Mytilus edulis: one gene and its partner. The protein of the gene in region 2 interacts with the protein of the main gene of each other region in a pairwise test. Links are inferred from orthologs where the notes say so. Each region holds a gene or a part of one and is shown on either strand. Other genes may lie near its edges.

What was found.
Region 1: the proteins of phosphatidylserine lipase ABHD16A-like (region 2) and reticulophagy regulator 3-like interact in binary tests that used the Homo sapiens proteins (3 or more experiments, as listed by UniProt). The link is inferred for Mytilus edulis from reciprocal best matches to the Homo sapiens genes ABHD16A and RETREG3.

Annotation. Positions count from the first base shown.
Region 1 is NC_092345.1:86,086,214-86,096,716, reverse strand, and holds the start of reticulophagy regulator 3-like, read right to left. Parts: upstream 4,290-10,503; 5' UTR 4,203-4,289; coding exon 4,030-4,202; intron 3,188-4,029; coding exon 3,081-3,187; intron 2,500-3,080; coding exon 2,469-2,499; intron 1,467-2,468; coding exon 1,340-1,466; intron 270-1,339; coding exon 185-269; intron 1-184. UniProt on the Homo sapiens protein: Endoplasmic reticulum (ER)-anchored autophagy regulator which exists in an inactive state under basal conditions but is activated following cellular stress.
Region 2 is NC_092345.1:3,768,785-3,778,638, reverse strand, and holds the start of phosphatidylserine lipase ABHD16A-like, read left to right. Parts: upstream 1-4,732; 5' UTR 4,733-4,803; coding exon 4,804-4,890; intron 4,891-8,196; exon of another isoform or gene 8,197-8,261; intron 8,262-9,113; coding exon 9,114-9,170; intron 9,171-9,772; coding exon 9,773-9,839; intron 9,840-9,854. Other genes in the region: calcyclin-binding protein-like, read right to left, coding at 591-688, 1,225-1,324, 2,358-2,454, 2,863-3,073, 4,448-4,468. UniProt on the Homo sapiens protein: Phosphatidylserine (PS) lipase that mediates the hydrolysis of phosphatidylserine to generate lysophosphatidylserine (LPS). LPS constitutes a class of signaling lipids that regulates immunological and neurological processes.

The DNA of each region.
Region 1 (10,503 bases), about 82 Mb from region 2:
TACCACATCTTCTTATTTTCACACTTAACAAAATACACATTAAAAAGACATATTTCATATGGATGTGAAAATTTGATAATCTTAGAATTCTCAAAGAATGAATACTTCAAAAATAATACAGGGCCACCTACACATATAAGTAGTTAAAATAGGGGTCATTTCTGACAGAGCTATTCCAACTTACCAGTTATATAAGACAACATCAATCCTGGTATATAATGGCCCAGTACAGCCAGTGATATGAAGAAAATACAGCTTACAATACAAAACTGTAACAAGAAATAAGCATCATTTTTTTATTATAGCATTGGGGTTAAAATACATCATTATTATGCTGTGCATGGGATTTTTTTCAGGGCATAATATAGATGTAAAGAAGATCACTTATAATATTATATACATGTATTAAACAATTTGAAGGAACCCAAATCACCATTCTTTTTTTTTTTTAAAGTTATGATACAAAAAATGTAGTACTAAAAGTTGGTATGTTGTTGGCCCATCACATTATATTCACATAGTAAGTGATCTATTTTGGAGGTAAAAGTTGTTGCCTTACATGTACAGTGCATGCAGAGTGGGAGTGACTTCAAACTCTTTTCACCGATTTCAGTGTATAGCGGTGTGACACCGCGAATCACAGATACTACTTCAAATTTCCTCAAACTTTTTTTTTCACAAAACCAAAAGGCTGTTAATTGGTTTATTGCCCATTGGACGTACTAAAAATTAACAACAACTTTTAAAATCAATTATACTGATATATATATATATACATTATAGCAATGTTGTGATTGTAATTCCACCTTTGACTGTGTGCTTTAATTATGTGATTTACTTAAAGTCCTATGAAACAAGTTTTTTGAAATTTTATTTTCAAGATATTATTGAACAAATGCATGAACGTCTACTAAATGTCCTCTTAGAGTAAGGGAAGACAACAATTCAATAGCTGTACATTTCTGAAGATTTTGATATCATAAGATGAGAGATTTTCTTTTACCAGAAAGTCCATGTACACTTGCTTTCTTAAGTAAAATTTAGACATTCAAGTATATAAAACATATTTAAATTTTTTTTAAATTTGAAATTTCATGACTTTAATTTAATTCAACTCAATAAATGCTGTGTGCTGAATATTTCAAGAAGAAAATGTGTTTGTGGCTTTTTCAAAATGTGTGAAACTTAAATATACTTTCTGGAGCCAGAATTTCAACAGAATTATGAAAATATATTTCTGATGACAACTGGACCATTTAATATATTTTTTACTAAAAGATTTTAATGGCAACTATTAGGTTCAAAAGTTATACATGTAATATCAAATGAAACAACTTACCAAAAATCTGTAATTTCTTCTAAAAGACAGGCAACTATTTACAACTTTAGCAAAAGAGCACCATATTTGAGCAAGATATTTACATATTTCTGGCACACTCAGTAAACGAGGGTGAACAGGTGTCCAGCTAAAAAATATAAAACACTGTGACAGTCAATCAATAGTTGAGTAAGTAAAACTTTACTATGAATTTAGATGTTGACAAACATTTGAACATTATATGTCATTTGTTGATGTGTAATATACTTGTTTTTCATTCATTTTTTGGTACACAGATTAGGCCATTAGTTTTTTTTCGTTTGAACTATTTTACATAGGTCATGTTGGGGCCTTTTAAAGCTCACTATGCGGTATGGACTTTACTCACTATTGAAGGCCTTATGGTTACCTATAGTTGTTGATTTATGTGTCATTTGGTCTTTTGTAGAGAGTTGTATCATTGGCAATCTTACCACATCTCTTTTTTTATATTTTCACTGAATATAAAAACATATACATGATATACATGAACAATAAAATCCTATTCAATGTACATTGTAGAGGTAATATATTACCTGAATATTCTGAATATCATTTAACCCTATACATTTGTACATATTTTGACAACTGATTAAATAATTCGCATTGATACCGACAGACTGAAAGCTCAGAAAAAAATCCCTTAAGAAAAATGTAAAGGTAAAGAAAGCAACATTTAGACTATTGAAATTAGCGTGCAGCTTCAAATGAAAAGTAGGTCACTCTTACCTATATTATACAATTCATTGACATCATTTGTGTTGTTACATATATTAGAATTCAGAATTAAGCTACATAAACCTCAATGGATTAACAGTAATTTTTTACAAAAGTCTGTAAGATGTCAGAACAATCTCAGACAAACAAGTACAGGCTCATGTTTAAAAATTGAATGTGCCCAGTTACGAAATTCATTCTCAACCAGTCCTTTCATGTGCAATTTGTTATTTTTATAGATTATGGATGTTGTCATTCAAAATTTAAACTACAAAAAAAATGCAAGTATTCCTTAGTCATTGTACTTATTGTGATAAAACTACAAATATTGATCTTCATTTTTTTTTAATTTGACATTTGTGTAAATGTGTAACTCCACCAATAGTGTACAAACCTGTCTGGGTCCTCAGGCTCTTTTGGTGGAACTGAAAAAAAAACATGGAAAATTAATTGAGTTTGGTGTCTTAATATTTAACAGGAGGCTGTGCCAATTGCAGTGGGACATGTACATGTAGTTATAAGCTATTTAATTTATATGTAGTTCCTTGGACAGCCTTTAGACTATTCACATGCAATGACCCACAACAATTTGAAAATATGTTATCTGAGTGCTGATATATATATAATTATATAACTTAAGCATTGTGCAGTAAAACCAATGAGCAATAGATACTTGTAATTCTTCCCCAAATTGACATCCTTAACTTAATTATTAATCATGTTAATACTGATTGAAAGCTGATTACAATATGTGTGTAGTCAGGATGTTTATTTGATTGTCAAATGTATATTTTGACAACTTAAAGCTGGGAAGCTTAATTGTTTGGATTTATCAAGAATCAAGAAATCAAACAATAAAAAATAAAGTTTTGACTTTGAATTCACAGTTGAACTGTATATATTAGGTATGCATATTGTTTCAGCTCAACATGTACATGTAAATTTAGGGTTACAATTATTTAACATGTCTGCTTTATCATGTTTATATCTGAATATATATAGGTACCTCTAATCTCTGGCCATATCTTTCTCTTCCAAGTCCGTACAAAATATGAAATTATCAATCCTGTACTGATAAGAAAATAAATTCTGCCACCAAATACTGTAAAAAACCTACAAAATTATATCAAAGACTCAGTATTATTCATCTGTACAAGTATTAGTTTGGTAAGACTATATAACTCCTTGGTACATTTGTACCTAAGCTTAGACTTGTAATCAAAAGGCAGACGATTCCAAAGAGCTATCAAAGGACAAACCTGTCGCAAAATGTTAACCAGTGTCAAAAATAATTGTCTTTCATTTTTTCAATTACAATCTATATCTGTTTATTGGTTCTACTCCTATCAACATAACCAAGCTAACTACGGTCTTTTAATTTACTTTCACTAAAGTAACCAAATAAACTTTGTAAATATCAATAATAATTTTAAATCATCTAATCACAAAAATAATTTCTTTTGAACATGATAAAAATTCACGAATTATATTTAAGGAAATACATAAATACACCCATATGAAAATCATCCACTTGTTCAACTAGAATTTGAATAAGAATAGGGTGCAAACAGACCTAAGGGGCAAACAGGCAGGATGCAAATGTTTTGGGAGCAAATGGACCTTATGGATAATCATGATAATACCTGTTTAAAATAAAACGTAACATAACAAATTAATGAGAGCAAATATAAATTTAGGTAAATTTTCCAAGGTTGAACAGGTAAAAGAACCAACAGAACAAAGGCAACCATGAATGTGGCTATTGTACAGACTCTAGAAATTGGAATTTTGTCCTGTTTGACCTCGCATTGCATGATGCATTTTAACGTCCTCTGTTATTCATGTTGTTTACCAAATGAAACACCTAGCTTCAAATTATTTGCAATCCTTGGCTTCTTCATTTTGAAAGCCACATATCAGTTCATGCCAAATGCTATTGTTAAGTCAGTTCTTACCAAAATATAGCATGAATAATAATAAATAACACTGCACTTCTTCTTGGACTTTCCCACACAAGTAGACTTTGAATTTGCATTACAAAAGGTTCAATCGGACTTAGAATGTTTTTCAATATTTGTTCACTGTGTCTATTTAAACTATCTCCATTGAGTACCATAGGGTTATCCATATTGCTTGATTTGACCCAGTAAATTGCTGTTTATGTTTGTCAACAAACAGATGCCATTTTTGTTTTGGAAATGACGTATTCTGATCATGTGACTACGACTTATAAAAATGTTTAAATTTGTAAATCAAACAAGATTTATTATTTATATCGTTGAACAACGATTTCAATTTATATAAATGTATAGACATTTGGATTGTTGTACTGTAACTGACCAGTCGGCCTAACCTGGAAAAATAAGAAAAAAATGTTAAAAGTGTGATCAGTTACGGAAAAGTATAAATCCGGTTTTATGACTGCTTTTTATCTATTTTAAGGGTGAGCTCGACTTCAATCTTGAGTATGATTGTGAGTTGTCGGATCAAAGGTGACTGGTCGACTCGGGGGTTCTCCCCGGCTTCTCATTCACCTTTGTTTATTATTGGATGTAAGAAGATGTGATGATAGTTGATCATAAATGTATTTATTAAAGTTGAGCATACACGTGTTTTCTGTTATGTAAACAATCACACGTGAGTGAGTGTCCGCATAGCGTTCATCTATTGGTGTTTATATTAAATAAACAGGTTTGTGTTTTAAATATATGATATTTCGGATTGGTCAATATTTGTCGCATTGCGTAAATATATTGAGTATGATATCACAGGGACTCGTTTAGCAGATTAAAATTTTGTAAATCAATGTTTTTAATTATTTTTTTTATTATTTCCTGTCTATTTGCATTACTTTATTAACGTATTTAACGTTGCCATCACTATTTCTTTGTTTTCTGGCAATGTGCAGTTTACTATCCATATCCGTATACTGAAAAAAACTATTTTTCAGTATACAGATATGGATAGTAAAACTATTTTTCAGTAAACGGATATGGATAGTAAACTGCACTTTCTTTGTTTTCTGGCAATGTGCAGTTTACTATCCATATATCCGTATACTGAAAAATCCTATAGGATTTTTCAGTATACGGATAGTAAAAATCCTATTTTTCAGTATACGGATAGTAAAATGATCCTATTTTTCAGTATACGGATAGTAAAAATCCTATTTTTCAGTATACGGATATGGATAGTAAACTGCACATTGCCAGAAAACAAAGAAATAGTGATGGCAAGGTCAAATACGTTAATAAAGTAATGCAAATAGACAGGAAATAATAAAATAATAAATTAAAAACATTGATTTACAAAATTTTAATCTGCTTACCGAGTCCCTGTGTATGATATTTGTTTTGTATTTATAGCACTGGATTTTTTAAAGCGCGAATAGTTGTCTTGTTTAAGTAATTTAAGATATATTGTCATTCGAATCTCGTATACCGTCTAGTAAGGCAGCTTAGTTTAGGTAAAGATATGTCCGAACCAGTACTCGATTTGAATGAAGAAGATTTGTTAAGGGACCCCTTGCATGGTCAGCCGAACGTCTTAATGCTTCCAATTCACAAGCTAATCAACAAAACCGTGACCTGTAGTAGACACTTTTGGGCTTTTGAAAGACTATTTGGATAAGAAACTTGTTGATTTAAAGTCCGACATTCTGTCAGAGCAAGACAATTTATACAAGAAATACAGAGATGAGGCTAATATTAAATTTAAATCAGAAGGGAACCGGATTCAGTTTCGTTTTAATGAGAATACTATGGATGGTCTTAACAAAATCCACAAGGATCTTTTATCTGTTGCTTTCCCCTTTCTATTTCTTCTATTACTGGTGATTTGGTGGGTTATCTTAAAGAAAGGAACAAACTCGTCAGGATTGCTGATAACTCCACTGGGGGATGGGTTAACTTACGGTTCATGATAGAATATGAAAGTAACGATATCGCCGAAAATGATGAGGACGAGAAAAAGATTCGCCAGGCCGATACTATGGCCCTCAAAAGTATTAAGGAGAAAAAGACCCGCCCTCAGCCGTATACAGCTAGACCTACTCCAGCAGTTGGAAGTATCCCTACTGCCCCTGCTCCTCCTCCAGCTTACGATTTCAGTCGCTATCGTACCAGCACTGCACGGCGTAAGCCGTGCCCCATGGACACCTGTCCCTACTGCAAGCAGTATGGTCACTGGAGAGAAACTGCCCACTCAACTTCAAGTAGCCACAGCTTCTGCACCCAGTTACCAGCCATCCAAACAGCAATGATACAGTTACTGTTAATGATAAGTATCTAGATATAAGTTTGTTATCTTCTAGCTATGAATGCAATAACGACGAACTTGACGAATTTATGTCACAAGTTCATTTTCTTGAAAAATTAGATTTTTCTGCTAGTCATAACTTTAAAGGTAGGCTTGCAAAACGTTACGATTTTTGGGTTAAGATTGGAGCTAGTGATTTTGTTTTAGATACAATTAAAAACGGTTATGTAATGCCATTTTTAGTGCCTCCCCCAGTATGCACATGAAAAACAATAAATCTGCTGTTTCTAACTCAGAATTTGTGGATAAAGCCGTTTTAGAATTAGTTTATTCTGGGTGTGCATATGAAATTCCCTTTACGCCTTCTATTGTTAATCCTTTATCAGTAGCCACCAATAAGTCCGGAAAAAAGAAGTTAATAATAGATCTTTCAATTTTAAATAAATCCGTCAAAAAAGAGAGATTTAAATTTGAAGACTGGAAAACAGCTATTCAATTTTTCAAAAGAGGTTCTTATCTGTTTAAGTTCGATTTAAAATCTGGTTATCATCATTACGACATTTGTGCTCGGCAACAAAAAATTCTTGGTTTTTCCTGGAATAACAAGTATTACTGTTTTTCAGTTTTAGTTTTTGGTCTAGCTTCTAGCCCTTACTTGTTTACTAAATGTTTGAGATCTATGGTCAAATATTGGAGACAAAATTCGATTGATATTGTTTTGTATTTAGATGATGGTTTCGGAATGGCTTCATATTACGAATTATGTCAGAAAGATTCCGAATTTTTGAAAAAGTCACTAAAAGAGGCTGGTTTTGTAGTCAATTTAGAAAAATCTTTTTTTGAACCTTCCCAAAAGTTAGAATGGTTAGGAATCACTTGGGATTCTGCTCAATTCTGCATTTAAATTCCCGAAAGAAGATTAAATAATTTGTTACAATCTATAGATGAAATTTTAGAAATTTTTTTGTTTTTCTCTGCTAGGCAATTAGCTCAAGTGACTGGTAAAATTATTTATTTATCACCAGTGTTCGAGCCTCTGGACTGTTCCACAGACAATGTCGTGTACGGAATTGAATGTACTTTGTGTGGACTACTTTATGTTGGTGAAACTCGACAAACTTTACGTAAAAGGATGAATCAACACCGGTCTGATCATAAAGATCCGCAATTCAGGGTTCTTTATAACCACTTTAATCAACCGGACCATGATCCTTCTTTGTCTATGAAAGTACGAATCATCGAGAAAATTTATCACCACACAAATAGCCCTGTACTTAGTACTCCTTTTCTAAAAGACTGAGAAAATTTCTGGATAAGGGAACTAGGTACTGCAATGCCATATGGTTGCAATGATAATGTGAAATGAGTAGGAAATTTTTCAAGTCCAGCCTGCAGTGATGTTAATGTAATGAGTTTATTCAATACTACCTTACGAAACCAACGTAGTCATGGACAAAAACGTTACCATCGGCCTAATGTAAAAAAAATCTTCCAAATCTAGATCGCCCTCTAGAAGCTTCGATTGACCTCCTTTCTCATCTTCATCATCCGCTAGGGTTACATTACATTAGAAATATTCTTTTTTCACTACCTGTTAATTTTCTAAAATGTTTGAGAGATTATGCACTTGACAAAGGATGCATAAATACATTTTCTCCATTATACAGACTTGTCAGTATAATTTGTGATGTAGCTCTTTTCCGTCTTTTTAAACCAGTAAGATCGAAACCTTTACATGAGGAAAAGAGAAAATTCCTTCCTGTTTACTTTACCAATAAAGGAATTGATGCAATCAACATCAGCAACGTTCTACATCAAAATGAGGTAACATCTAAAATTCCTATTCATTTTCAAAATCAGTCTGTTCCTATTGTATCCTACAGTTACACCAAAACCATTGAACCATAAATATTTAACTATAAACAAGCATTACAAGACCTTGATTCAGAACAATACCAAAAAAAACCTCTGACATGTGACTATTCCCACCCGCCTTACAATTACAGTCCCACTGGCCATGTTATATTGGGAATCTAAACATAATTCAACATGAAAATCTCCGAAAGGTGATTTCTCATGGTCCTAAGTTTAGAGAACCCCAACACATCAATTGGAACCATAATTTCAAAATAATTATGGATTCCATTGAGGACTACGCCAGAGCATGGGCTAAACGAGAAGAAGTTCAACTGGACACTTTGTCAGAATGGGTCAAAACAATCAGGTCTCTGATAAAACGTCGCATTCATAAGTTGAAAAACTGTGTGAATGATCGACCAAAGTTCGTTTTCAGAGACAAAGAGGCTGTAGAATGTCTATCATGTCTTCAAGAAAAGTATGTTGTTGTCCCTGCGGACAAAGCTTCAAATAATATTGTCTTTGTATACATGTAAATCGTATTACTACGAGTGTCTTGTAATATACTTAGGAATAAATGAGCACTCAGGTAATCCCACATACAAAAACATATCATTTGACAAGGATGAGATTTTGGCGAATCATAAGTCCTTCATGGCTTCAATGAACATTACATTGAACAACAAATCGGAGGACTTACTTAGTTTTTATTTGATACCTAAACTTCACATAATTCCGTAGAAACAACGGTGCATTGCCAGCTCATCTGCATGTTCCACTAAAGAATTGTCCATTAGATTGACTAAAATTCTGTCCGCAGTGAAAGAAAATACTTCAGAAATACTGTGAAACTGTTTACTCGCGTAGTGGTATTAACCATATGTGGATTCTTAAAAACTCTAAAAAAAAACTCCTGGATAATTTTAAATCTCAGTCTTTTTCTGAAATTAGTTCTATCAAAACTTTTGATTTTTCAACCTTGTGTACCACTATTCCCCATGTGAAATTGAAAAACCGTCTAAACATCCACAATGCTTTTCATCATGAAAATGGTAGCATACGCTATAAATTTATTACGTTGGGATACCATAAGGCGTATTTTGTTAATAGTGAACAAAAGGGTAAAATATGCTACACAGAGGAACAAGTGATCAGTATGCTGGAGTTTCTTATTGACAACATATATGTTGAATTTGGAGGTAGACTTTTTCAACAAATTGTCGGCATTCCTATGGGAACGAACTGCGCGCCTCTCCTTGCTGACCTCTTCTTATTTTCATATGAATCGGAGTTCCTTCAGACACTTGTCAAAAACAAGAAGATCAAAGAAGCCAGGTTATTTAATTTCACTTTCAGATATATTGATGTTCTTTCCATTAACAATCCGAACTTTTTTGATTGGGTTGCATTAATATATCCACCAGAACAAGAAATTAAAGAGACAACAGACACGGCTTCCTCCGCCTCATTTTTAGACTTATACCTCGAATTTGACATACACAGTGATCTCAGTACCAGAATCTATGACAAACGAGACGATTTTGATTTTGAAATTATCAATTTCCCACACCTTAGTAGCAATATACCAACTTCACCTGCATATGGAATATACATTTCCCAACTTATTCGGTATTCAAGAGCTTGCAGCTCCTACTCAGACTTTGTAAAACGTCACCAGTGTCTGAGCAGAAAGTTGATGAACCAGGGGTATGTCAAAGAACGTCTCGTCCTTTTTCTAAAAAAAAGTTCATCGGAAGGTACCAAGAACTTGTTGATAAATATTCCGTATCAACTTCACAAATAATACACGAAGGTCTTGAAGTATAGATTTTGCGTACTGACTTGTTTATCATCTTAATAACGTGTTATATTTTTCTTTTATTTGTCTTTATTAATATTACTTTTACTGTTAAGTCTGTTTTTTGAGATATCCTTTTGACGTAACTCTGTGCTTATGTATCCCATCATACTTTGAACGACACAATTATTTTATGATGTTACTCTGTACCTATGTATCTTGTCATACTTTGAATGACAAAATTATTTTATTTATTAATATTACTTTTACTGTTAAGTCTGTATTTTTGTGATATTTTGTTATATCTATTTTACGTGACTGTATTTATGTATCCCGTCATACTTTGAACGACAAAATTATTTCATGTCTACCTGTGCGAATTTCTAACGCACAATTTTACACCAGTACTTAAAACCCTCCATCCTGTATGCCTGGGTGCATTTTACATAGATAAATAAAATCGTATAATATAAGCAAAATGAGGATGTTAAATTTGATGTATGCCTTTTTGTGCTTT
Region 2 (9,854 bases):
ATTATCTCTTATTGTTTCAGTAAATCTTAAATAAATGGGGAATGTGTAAATGGGACAAAGATAATGCCCCAGCTGGCATATAATTGTTATAATGGGACATAACTCAAAAATGGTAGAAGTGACGATACCTAACTTTGTACTTGATCTGAGTTTTGTGATAAGAAGCATTAAGTTAGAAAAAGGAAACGAGAGAATCAGTATTTTTTCCATTTGAACAGGGGCATAACTAACAGTAATAGTGACATCACCAAAATTCAAACTTGATCTGTGTTTGTGCTAATAAGTAATGTGTAAAAGTTAAATCACTAAATTCAGGCAAACTAAAGTTAGAGAATAGAAACTTATTTTTGGAAGTAAGGACGGACATTATAATGCAACATTTAGTACATAAAACGTTTATTGAACAATATTAGACACAAAATTCTTAATAAATATTTTATCAATATATAAGTTGCCAAGTTTTCATTTTGCTTAATCATGGTTTTGAATTTCATGACTTTTATAGCAGGCAATACAAAAAAATGTAAAAAAGATGGATAAAAGATGGAATTATGAGTAAAGCAAAATGAATAAAAAATAGTATGTCTTACTTTTTGGCTTCCTTTTCTTTATGTTCTCGCTGGGTGACATGTGACCAGGTTTTTGTATTGTCCTTTCTCATCATTACCAGGACAGTGTCTGTTTTAATCTGTAATAATGGAATACAAAATTGTCATATCTCTTTACACACAAGCATTCATACCTTAATTTCATTCATTTCACAGGTATCACAGGTTAAAAACAGGATAATCATAATAAATATGACTGAAGTTATTGGCAGAAACAAGTTAGAGTAAAATATCATTAGTGTACAATAACACACAGAACTCTAAAATCTGGAATATTTTATGTCAATGCACCATAAATAATCCCAAAGGTATTTCAGCAGATTGCCTATCCCCCTTTGAGCATTGCTACCGTAAGCAGAATGCAGGCTACCTACAAACAACCAAGAATCATTCCGTGCTCACTACAATGAGCAATTTTATTCAGCACATCCATGACCATCCATGTACTAAAAGTATTTTTGTCTTTTGTGGATTCTTAATTTTACCATTTTATCTGTGAATATTTCAAGGACTAAGTGCAATATGTATAACCTTCCTGTATTTACCTGAGTTTACCTGTACAAAATGTATATTATTGATAAACTGATTGATATAAATATCCAACTTCTAATTTTACCTTGAAAAAACTTTCACTGGGTTGTATATCCTCAAAAAGTTTGGAAATATAAAGTTCATGATTTTTACCATCCAAGTCGTTCACATTTAATCTGATGGTTCTGGAAAATGAAAAAAATCTTCCATGAGAAATCGTTTTCAAAAACTGATGAATTATATTTGTTTGTGTCAAACCTTCATTTTACACACATCTTTGTCAATCTAGTGTAATTGTATGTGACTGCCATACAAGTGAGCTATAAAACAAGGTTAAACAATAGAAAATGCATGTACCAAGTCAGGGATATGACAGTTGTTATCCATTTGTTCGTTGTGTTTGATCTTTTGATTTTGTCATTTGATTAAGGACTTTTCATTTTGAATTTTCAGTATTTTTGTGATTTTACTTTTTACATAGAACACCTCCCATTGTATAAATGGTAAGTATGAAGTGGGAACAGAGCATCTCTTATTCCTTCTTTGATATATGCACTTTTTTGAAGATATTCATCTTATTAGCATATAAATTGATTTTCATTTTTTTGTCCCTTTAAATAAGCAAACACATGTATTTTTCTATGGCAGTACCTGTTGACCTATTTTTCTATGGCAGTACCTGTTGACCTATTTTTCTATGGCAGTACCTGTTGACCTATTACCGTAAGTACTAAAGTACAAACTGTTATAAAATTGATATTCCTAGTACATTTTCCTGTGGATTCATTTGTTTTCGTTGGTACCAATTTTCGTGGATTGTGGAAACCTTGCATTTTTGTCGATACTTGATTTCTTTGTTTTGCCCATCTGTGCATACAATATGTAGAAAGACTTTAAGAAAATTTGTAATTCATTGAATATTTAAATCTGTGGTTCAACTGTTCCAACGAAACCAAGGAAACCCAAGGAACTTAGTATCCAATGAATAATAATGAATCCACAGTATTTATAGGAAAAAATTAGCTTTGAGCATACATGTTAGCTAGTTTAATCAAGAAAGACACTTTAAGTACAGTAGCTTCTATGTTTGATTCGGAACAGTTATTGTCATGACTGTATTCCTCATTCTTTAAAGAGGACCCTTGTTCATTTTAAGTTTTAAATATGTTCCGTAGATATTTAGGTCATTCAAAACTATAGCATTATCCTTAGCCTTACCTTTTTGTGAATTGAGTGGTAATTTGATCTTTAGGTAAAGATTGTACACCTTTCAAGGTGACATACAGTTTCATAAACTTTTCTGATTGATCCCATGCTGAAAGGAATTCAAAAATCATAAAAATACTTTTTAATCCTTGCTAAATTCATTTGTCTTTTGTCAAAATCATAGAACTTTTGTTTTTTTTAGAAACAATTTAGCCTTCATTTAATTTAGGAAACAGCTTTTATATCTATTTACAATTTGAAAAACATTTTGAAAAAGAAACGTTGTAAAAAATTTAAGTTTAAATCTGGAATGGTTCTACATGATATTTATATATAGTCATTGACTGTACAAAACATTTGCATGAAAATGTACAGATTGTCATACTGATTTTTTAATGAAAGGTTGGATTTTAAGAATGAGCTAGGAACATCCATTACTAATAATAGGGGATAGTTGTCTTATTGGCAATCATACTGCATCTCCTTTAATATTTTGATAAGAACATTCATTACTCACCATAGGTATGTATTGTGACTGTGTAAGGTCCTGTCTTTGGTTTCACTGTTGTTCCTGGTATTGATTTTTGTTCTGTTGAACTTTTTAGGCGATCCTGTTTTTGTATTAACTCAGTTTCCAATTTTCTTTTATCCAAACCAAGAAGATCTTTAACTCGTGTTCGACAAGCAGATTCTAGTAAACTATTAATTTCTTCAATATCACTCTTCAACTAATAAAGAAATTGAAAATAAAGAAAGATACATATAATACATGAAAACTTTATTTTAAACATCACTGTCATTCTGTAAACAGTTAGTATAATAGTCCCAGGCCTTATAAATATGAGGGTCATCATAGGGGTACCTTCAAACCAAATAAATAATAAAAAAAAACTTGCCAATTGACTTACAGTAATTTTTGGTGCATAACGATAAAATGTGTATTTTCTTTATGACAATCATGACAATAAAAAAAAATTAATGCTTTTGGTGAATCACAATAAATCGTTTCTGAAATTAACAGAAACAGATAATCATATGAGAACCTCAGAGCTCTAAAGAATCATGAATCATGATAAGTATATTTTGAAGAATCCAGATAAATTTTAACCTATTAATGTTAACAATGGTTAATGTTAACCGAAAATTACCATTTGAAAAATGACAGTAAAGGTATTTCTTCCCTCAAATATACACTAGGAGTTAAGCCATGAAACCCAAAGTTCAAAATGGTGAAGTTGACCCCTTTGTAAATTTTATGATTACAAGTTGGTTGACTGTAATGGAAAATCTGTTTCTCAGATGATAGCAGATATGTTTTATCACAGGAGTTTAAAATCCTATGAATAACGGGGTAAAACTATACCAAACTCGACTATCACAGTAGAGTTTCTCTCGAAGAGAGCGTTTATTCCGACTCAAAACATCCCTTTTCAAAAAATTAGGAACAATGAGGAAAATGCATTGCATTCCTGTCGCTTATCTCTTTGAGAGAAGCTCTACTGTGATAGTCAAGTTTGGTATAGTTTTTATCCCGTTGGTGGTGCCACATGTGTAGCAGCTAGGATCTGCTTACCCTTCAAGAGCACCTGGGTTAGTGTTGCAAGGTTTTTAGTAAAAGTTTATTTTTCTATATTGTGTTTGTGTACTATACACCTTATCGCTAATCCCTGCTGACCCGGCCGCTTGAACTTTTGATGCATACAACAATCACTTTTCCATTGTGGCGTCAGATATTTTTTTTAAGACATCAAAATTTTACGGGAACCTGTGTGATATCCAGTAATGGCGGACAAATAGCGATAAGGTGTATTGTTCATCTGTTGGTCTTTTCCTTGTTTTTTTTTTTTAATTTGGACAAAGAGACACAAATTTTAATATTGATTTTGGACAAGGAGATTCAAATAATTTTAATATTGATTTTAAAAAAAAATATATGAACTGTTCTGTTATCTTTTGTTTTAAAAAAAAAAAGGGGGGAGGGGGGGTGCCATGCACTATCAATATCAAACCGAAACCAAAATTTTATAAAAATGGCACGTGTAAAAAATTCTGCAGTAAAGCGTGTAACTACAAGTGGATGGGAGTGAACATCATATACTTACTTCTTCAATTTGTTTTTCCATGTTTAAACTAAGGGAATTATTGAATTTCGGTTGTGAGAGAGGCACAAAGAGGCAAATTGGTCTATCCAACTTTCACTTTCGATTCTGGAAAGTTCATTTTTTGATGGTATTAGTGTTTGAATTTGTATTTGATATTTTCCCTTGAAAAAACATACAACCGATCTAAGTGTCGTTATCTTTTCGAAATTCTCTAGACTTTACATTAAATATGATGTGCAAACCCGAATTTTCCTTTTCTTGGTTATTGAAGAGTTTGAAACTATGTGTTTTCATCCTTTCTCAATATAAACATAGTTGACATTGACTCATTAGAGATGTTTTGTTGAACAAGCAAAATGTCATTAATTCGGCAAATATACAATCTATACAGATGTTGTAGGGGACCTCGGTTATTTAGAAAACACAGTGATGATACCCATCAGGTGATTAATCATAAATTATTCAAATATTTTAGGTTTACAAGTTCAAAGTTTCATACTGCACAAATAGATTTCACAAACTTGTATAGTCCGAGATTCTTCTTCTCTTCTTTTAGTTTCCGCACTCCATCATAATATTGATGACTATGTGCTCTTTCCAACGGCCCCAGCTTGTCTGGCAAAACAGCTGTTGGACGTCAGAGTAATCTGGGACTAAAACTTGTATTCCTCTTGGGACCAGTCGTCGACTAGTGATTTAATTATCTAAATGAAGATCTTGTTATTACACGACTGCAAAAATTTTTGGTATCACGTTGTCGTCAGCGTTGTCCAAAGACAGATGTTTTCCGGATAAGAACTTTAGTAATATGAGGCAGGTATTACCTGTGAATGGGGATGAAGTCTATTATTTTTTTTTTTTAATTCAAACATGTTGATAAAAGAAACGGAAGTACTGTAACGTTTCCGATTTTGGTTCTGTTGTTAGGGATTTAGTTGTGACGTCATATTCAATGTAAACAAAGAAACGCTGTTATCCAGGTAACGTTTTTTTCATTTGAATTCCTTCCTATATTTGTTGATATGTTAACAAATATACATTTTATTCAAAGTCTCATGCAAACAAGACCGGAAATTGTTGCAATTTTTCTCATTTTAGATTTCAGAAATTAAAAAGAAAATTTCTTCAAATATTTTATTTTTGAGAGGATTTATATTAACACTTTCACTACTGAATTTATTTTTTTCGCGGGATTCCCTGGCCGAAATTTATTTGCACGAGCCGTTTGCCTGACCGGGATTAATTTCACATGTGCTTCAGCAAAAACGACCTCGTAGTTTTGGTCATTGAAAACTCGGGAACTGTAGCGAGTTGTGCGGTCAAATTTTGATAAAATGTAGATAAATATCATAGGTTGAGCGTCCGTAACCTTTTCATAGAGTGAAAAGCAGTTTACCTTAAAAACGCGTGTCGAAAACGTTGATTGATTGAATCGGAAGATAATTTTTGTCATTGCCTACCGTATATCACTTTCACTTCCATTCGGCAACATTTCTTAAGCACACGTGTGTTTCAAAATTCTATTTCTATGAGCTACTGAATTATTTTCTTTCAAAACCCGTTTCCGTTTTCGTTTTCTTGGCAATAATACTTGTAAATCGAGACTGTCGTTCACGTAGATTTTGGCCGCCATTTGTTTACGGTTTCGAAAGAAGAAAGATAACTCGGGCTCGATAACGGACAATAACTCTTCGAGACGAGTTGTATAATACCCCCAGCGTTGATGTGCGATTACTGAACTAATTAAAAATAATTGTTAACTGCAATAATAATTGATGGGACTTCATTACTTTATGACTTAACCCCAGTAATGCCTTAATTCTTCCACATGTGAATGAGATAAAGCTTTCCAATAGATAAAATAAATGAACCCAAAAAGTGATTTTTTTTTTAAAGTTCTAAATCCATGAAATTTCCAATAAATTTGATTTGGGTCATGGGGGTTGTATAATATAAAAAAAATGTTTAAGCATTAATATATGTACTACAAATAAGCAAATATTCAGCTGTATCTCAAGATAAAGAGCCTAGTGAATTTTTTTTTTTTGAAAATTGTTGAAATTAAATTTGAACTTTGTAGTCAAAATTTAGGATGTATAAGACAACATAAAATTGACAAATACATCAACTGATGTTTGTTAAAGCAGCACAAATAAATACTAAAAGCTGGCAATTAATATTTTATAAATTTATTTTCATCATAGTTAAATTTATTAATCATATTCAGTAGAGGTAAAGAAGATAATATATGCAGACAACTACTGGGTACTGTTTTATTTAAACTCATGATATGTAGACACAGATGCAAGTCGTTGAAAACTATTGCAAAAAAGGGATTAAAATACATCATGTACATGTTTTACTGCAAAATGCAGTTTTAAAATTCATTGATGGAAAGCTACACCAGGGAGCTGCATGATATAGTTTGTAATAACATTTGGAAGCTATGAAATTTGTTTTAGTTTATAATGCTGCATACTCATTGAATAGGAGGATTCATATCATAAATTTTGATTTTAAAATTGAGTGAGGACAATGGAAACTATTTTTTTTTATTTTCTGTTTATATTGTTGGGTTATTTAATGGAATGGTTTGTCAAAAAGTGAATAAAAATTACTTGAGTGAGGTTGTTATACTATAACCATTGTTACCAGTCTATTAATTAATCTTTTACATCCAGCAGCAAGTGTTACTTACATATAAGCCTATATATTAATGTGGTATGAAGATACCTGCTTATGTGTACTAGTCCCATAAACAGTGTTAATTTAAGAAGCTGACTTGCAAGGTGACAGCTACAAGACCCTAATGTGGTCCCATTATCCCATTTCCAATTTGATCAGTTTTTTCTCTTACTCCTTACTACTACATGTATATGACTTGGCATCTGAGAGAAGAAGCAATTTATATACCATTTGAAGTCCCTTTTTGAACACAAAAAAGATGTTTCCTAGTGTTAAAAATGGTTGCTTATATTGGCATTACAAATTGTAATAAACTTTAGGCACTGCCGCACTGGTCATTCATCTTTTGTGTTAGTGTGCTACATGAGGGGGAGTTCTTCCTCATAATTTCCATAACAAAAAATTTAACCCCTATATTGTTTTCAGAAACATACAGGAACAGTATTATTTTACAATAATAAATGATGCCATCTCAAGATTAATCAGAAGCAACAGACAACACCTTATGTTATTTCACTTTGGGGAAAAAAATCACTTCCCTCCAGCAAAAATTTTTTTTTTTCCCCCTTTCCAATTCTCAAAAAAAAAAAAAAAAAATTCCCTTCCCTTCTAAAACAAATATAATTTTTTTCACTTCCCTTCTTTGACAATGTTTTTTTTTAAATGAGAAAGAAAACAATTTGTTACATAAAATAATCATCTTGGCATCTTTCAGGATTTTTTTACTCTCTGTCAACATTATTTGTTTTTCAAAACAACTTTTAAAATTTTTGTATGCTGAACAAGACTTTTAAAAACCTCTGTCACAAGACGAGATACATCATGGAAAATAATTTACACTCGATTAAAATACGAATAAGATTGCAGAATATTGTCTCATCTTTCGAAACCACTTTTATGTAAAATAATAAATCTATGAGATGTAACAACACGTGTTTTTATGAACCGCACTATTTATAGACTCAGCTGTCAATTTTGTCAATATCCGGTTCTATTTAAAATAAAAGTGGACTTTCGTTTTGTCGACCTACATACTGCAGTACAGCCTTTCAATGAAAAGAATAAAACCCGTAACACTACAGACTCCTGAGAGTGTCTAAAACGATGATAAAAGACTCTGACTCAATCGGTAATGAAAGGTTGACTGTCAAACGGCAACGAGAAATAATTATTTACAGTCGTGCACCTGATGGCGACAATCAAAGTCTCGATTTCAGGTTGTTTTACAAATATCCTTCTCACAACTCCAAAATATACATACAATCACTACTTTTGTTCAATTTAAACGACTTTCATGACCGCAGGTTAAGTTTTCTCAATGTTTCAACTCGAAATGAAACTCCTGACCACGATTGTTTATGATTCCGCCATTTTGTTTTTCACGAGGTTTTTTTTTCTCAACAATCTTTGAAAAAACATATTTTAACAGTGTTTTTACGCCCGATACTAAAATATCGAATGCATTTGGTGTTTATCATAACATCCATGGAGCAACGGGGCCAAGAAACATGTTTAAACGTTATTTTTACTGTTTGCACTGTGACCGTCTAAAAATAGAAATCTATGTATCCTTAAGGATACATTCGGCATCTACACGGGGGTGCCAAAAGGATACATTCGGCATGCGCGCGGGTGTGCCAAAAGGATACATTCGGCATGAAAGGGTTAACAGCATAGTGACTTGCTCAAAAGCAAAAAAAAATAATTTTAAGTTCATTAAACCTCATTCATTCTGTGTCAGAAACCTATGCTTTGTCAACTATTTAATCACAATCCAGAGGCCTGCCTGTACCCTTGCAATATTAACATGATTAAAGTTCATCAAGTGTCTTATTTTGTGATCATCAATATGCAGGATAAACTTTAAATAATTGCTTCTACAATGTATATCAAATGATGTAGTGAAGAAAACCAATGGGATCATGCATATTACAAAGTATTTTTACATTTGAAATGTCATGAATGTGATATTATATTTTAGGGTAAAGCATATGTTCCCAATATAGTAGAATCCGGTGCTGACAAAGTTATTAATGTGGTGAGTTATCTCAATACCAAAATTACACTGTAAAGATATGTGTAGCTATATTCCACATAAAAATTCAACCCATAGGCCACATTGCAAAGATATGTGTAGCAAGTCCACATAAAAATACAACCAATGGGCCACATTGCAAAGATATGTGTAGCAAGCTGCCACAAAAATCCATTCCACATTGCAGAGATATGAACTACAAATTGCCATAAAAATCCATGCCACATTTACCATGTTTCAAATACATGAATGTGCAACACAGCGCCACAAAATTTCTAACTACATTTTATAGATATTAGAAATTACCGGGTATCAAATTTTTTTTCTCATTTTTTTTTTCAATTTCCTGATGGCACTCTCAAGGTATTGTTAAGAAATTTGTAAGAAAATTCAAGGTCAATCAAAAACATATCTGGAACTTTTGTATATATTTGTATATATATACAATGTACATGTATATAAAATCACAATTTTACAGAATATCAATTTGATAAAATACTTGTGTTTTTTAAAAAAGCAATAATCATCAAATAAACAGGAGCATATATACGCTTGAAACAACATGAGTTTGAACAGAATTTAAAACAAATATGTTTCATTTTCAGATAAGATTTTGTTACTCGTTTACCTACTGGACCTCACCGGTAGTACTAACCATCCTGTACAGAAGGGGTAAGTGAGACAAAC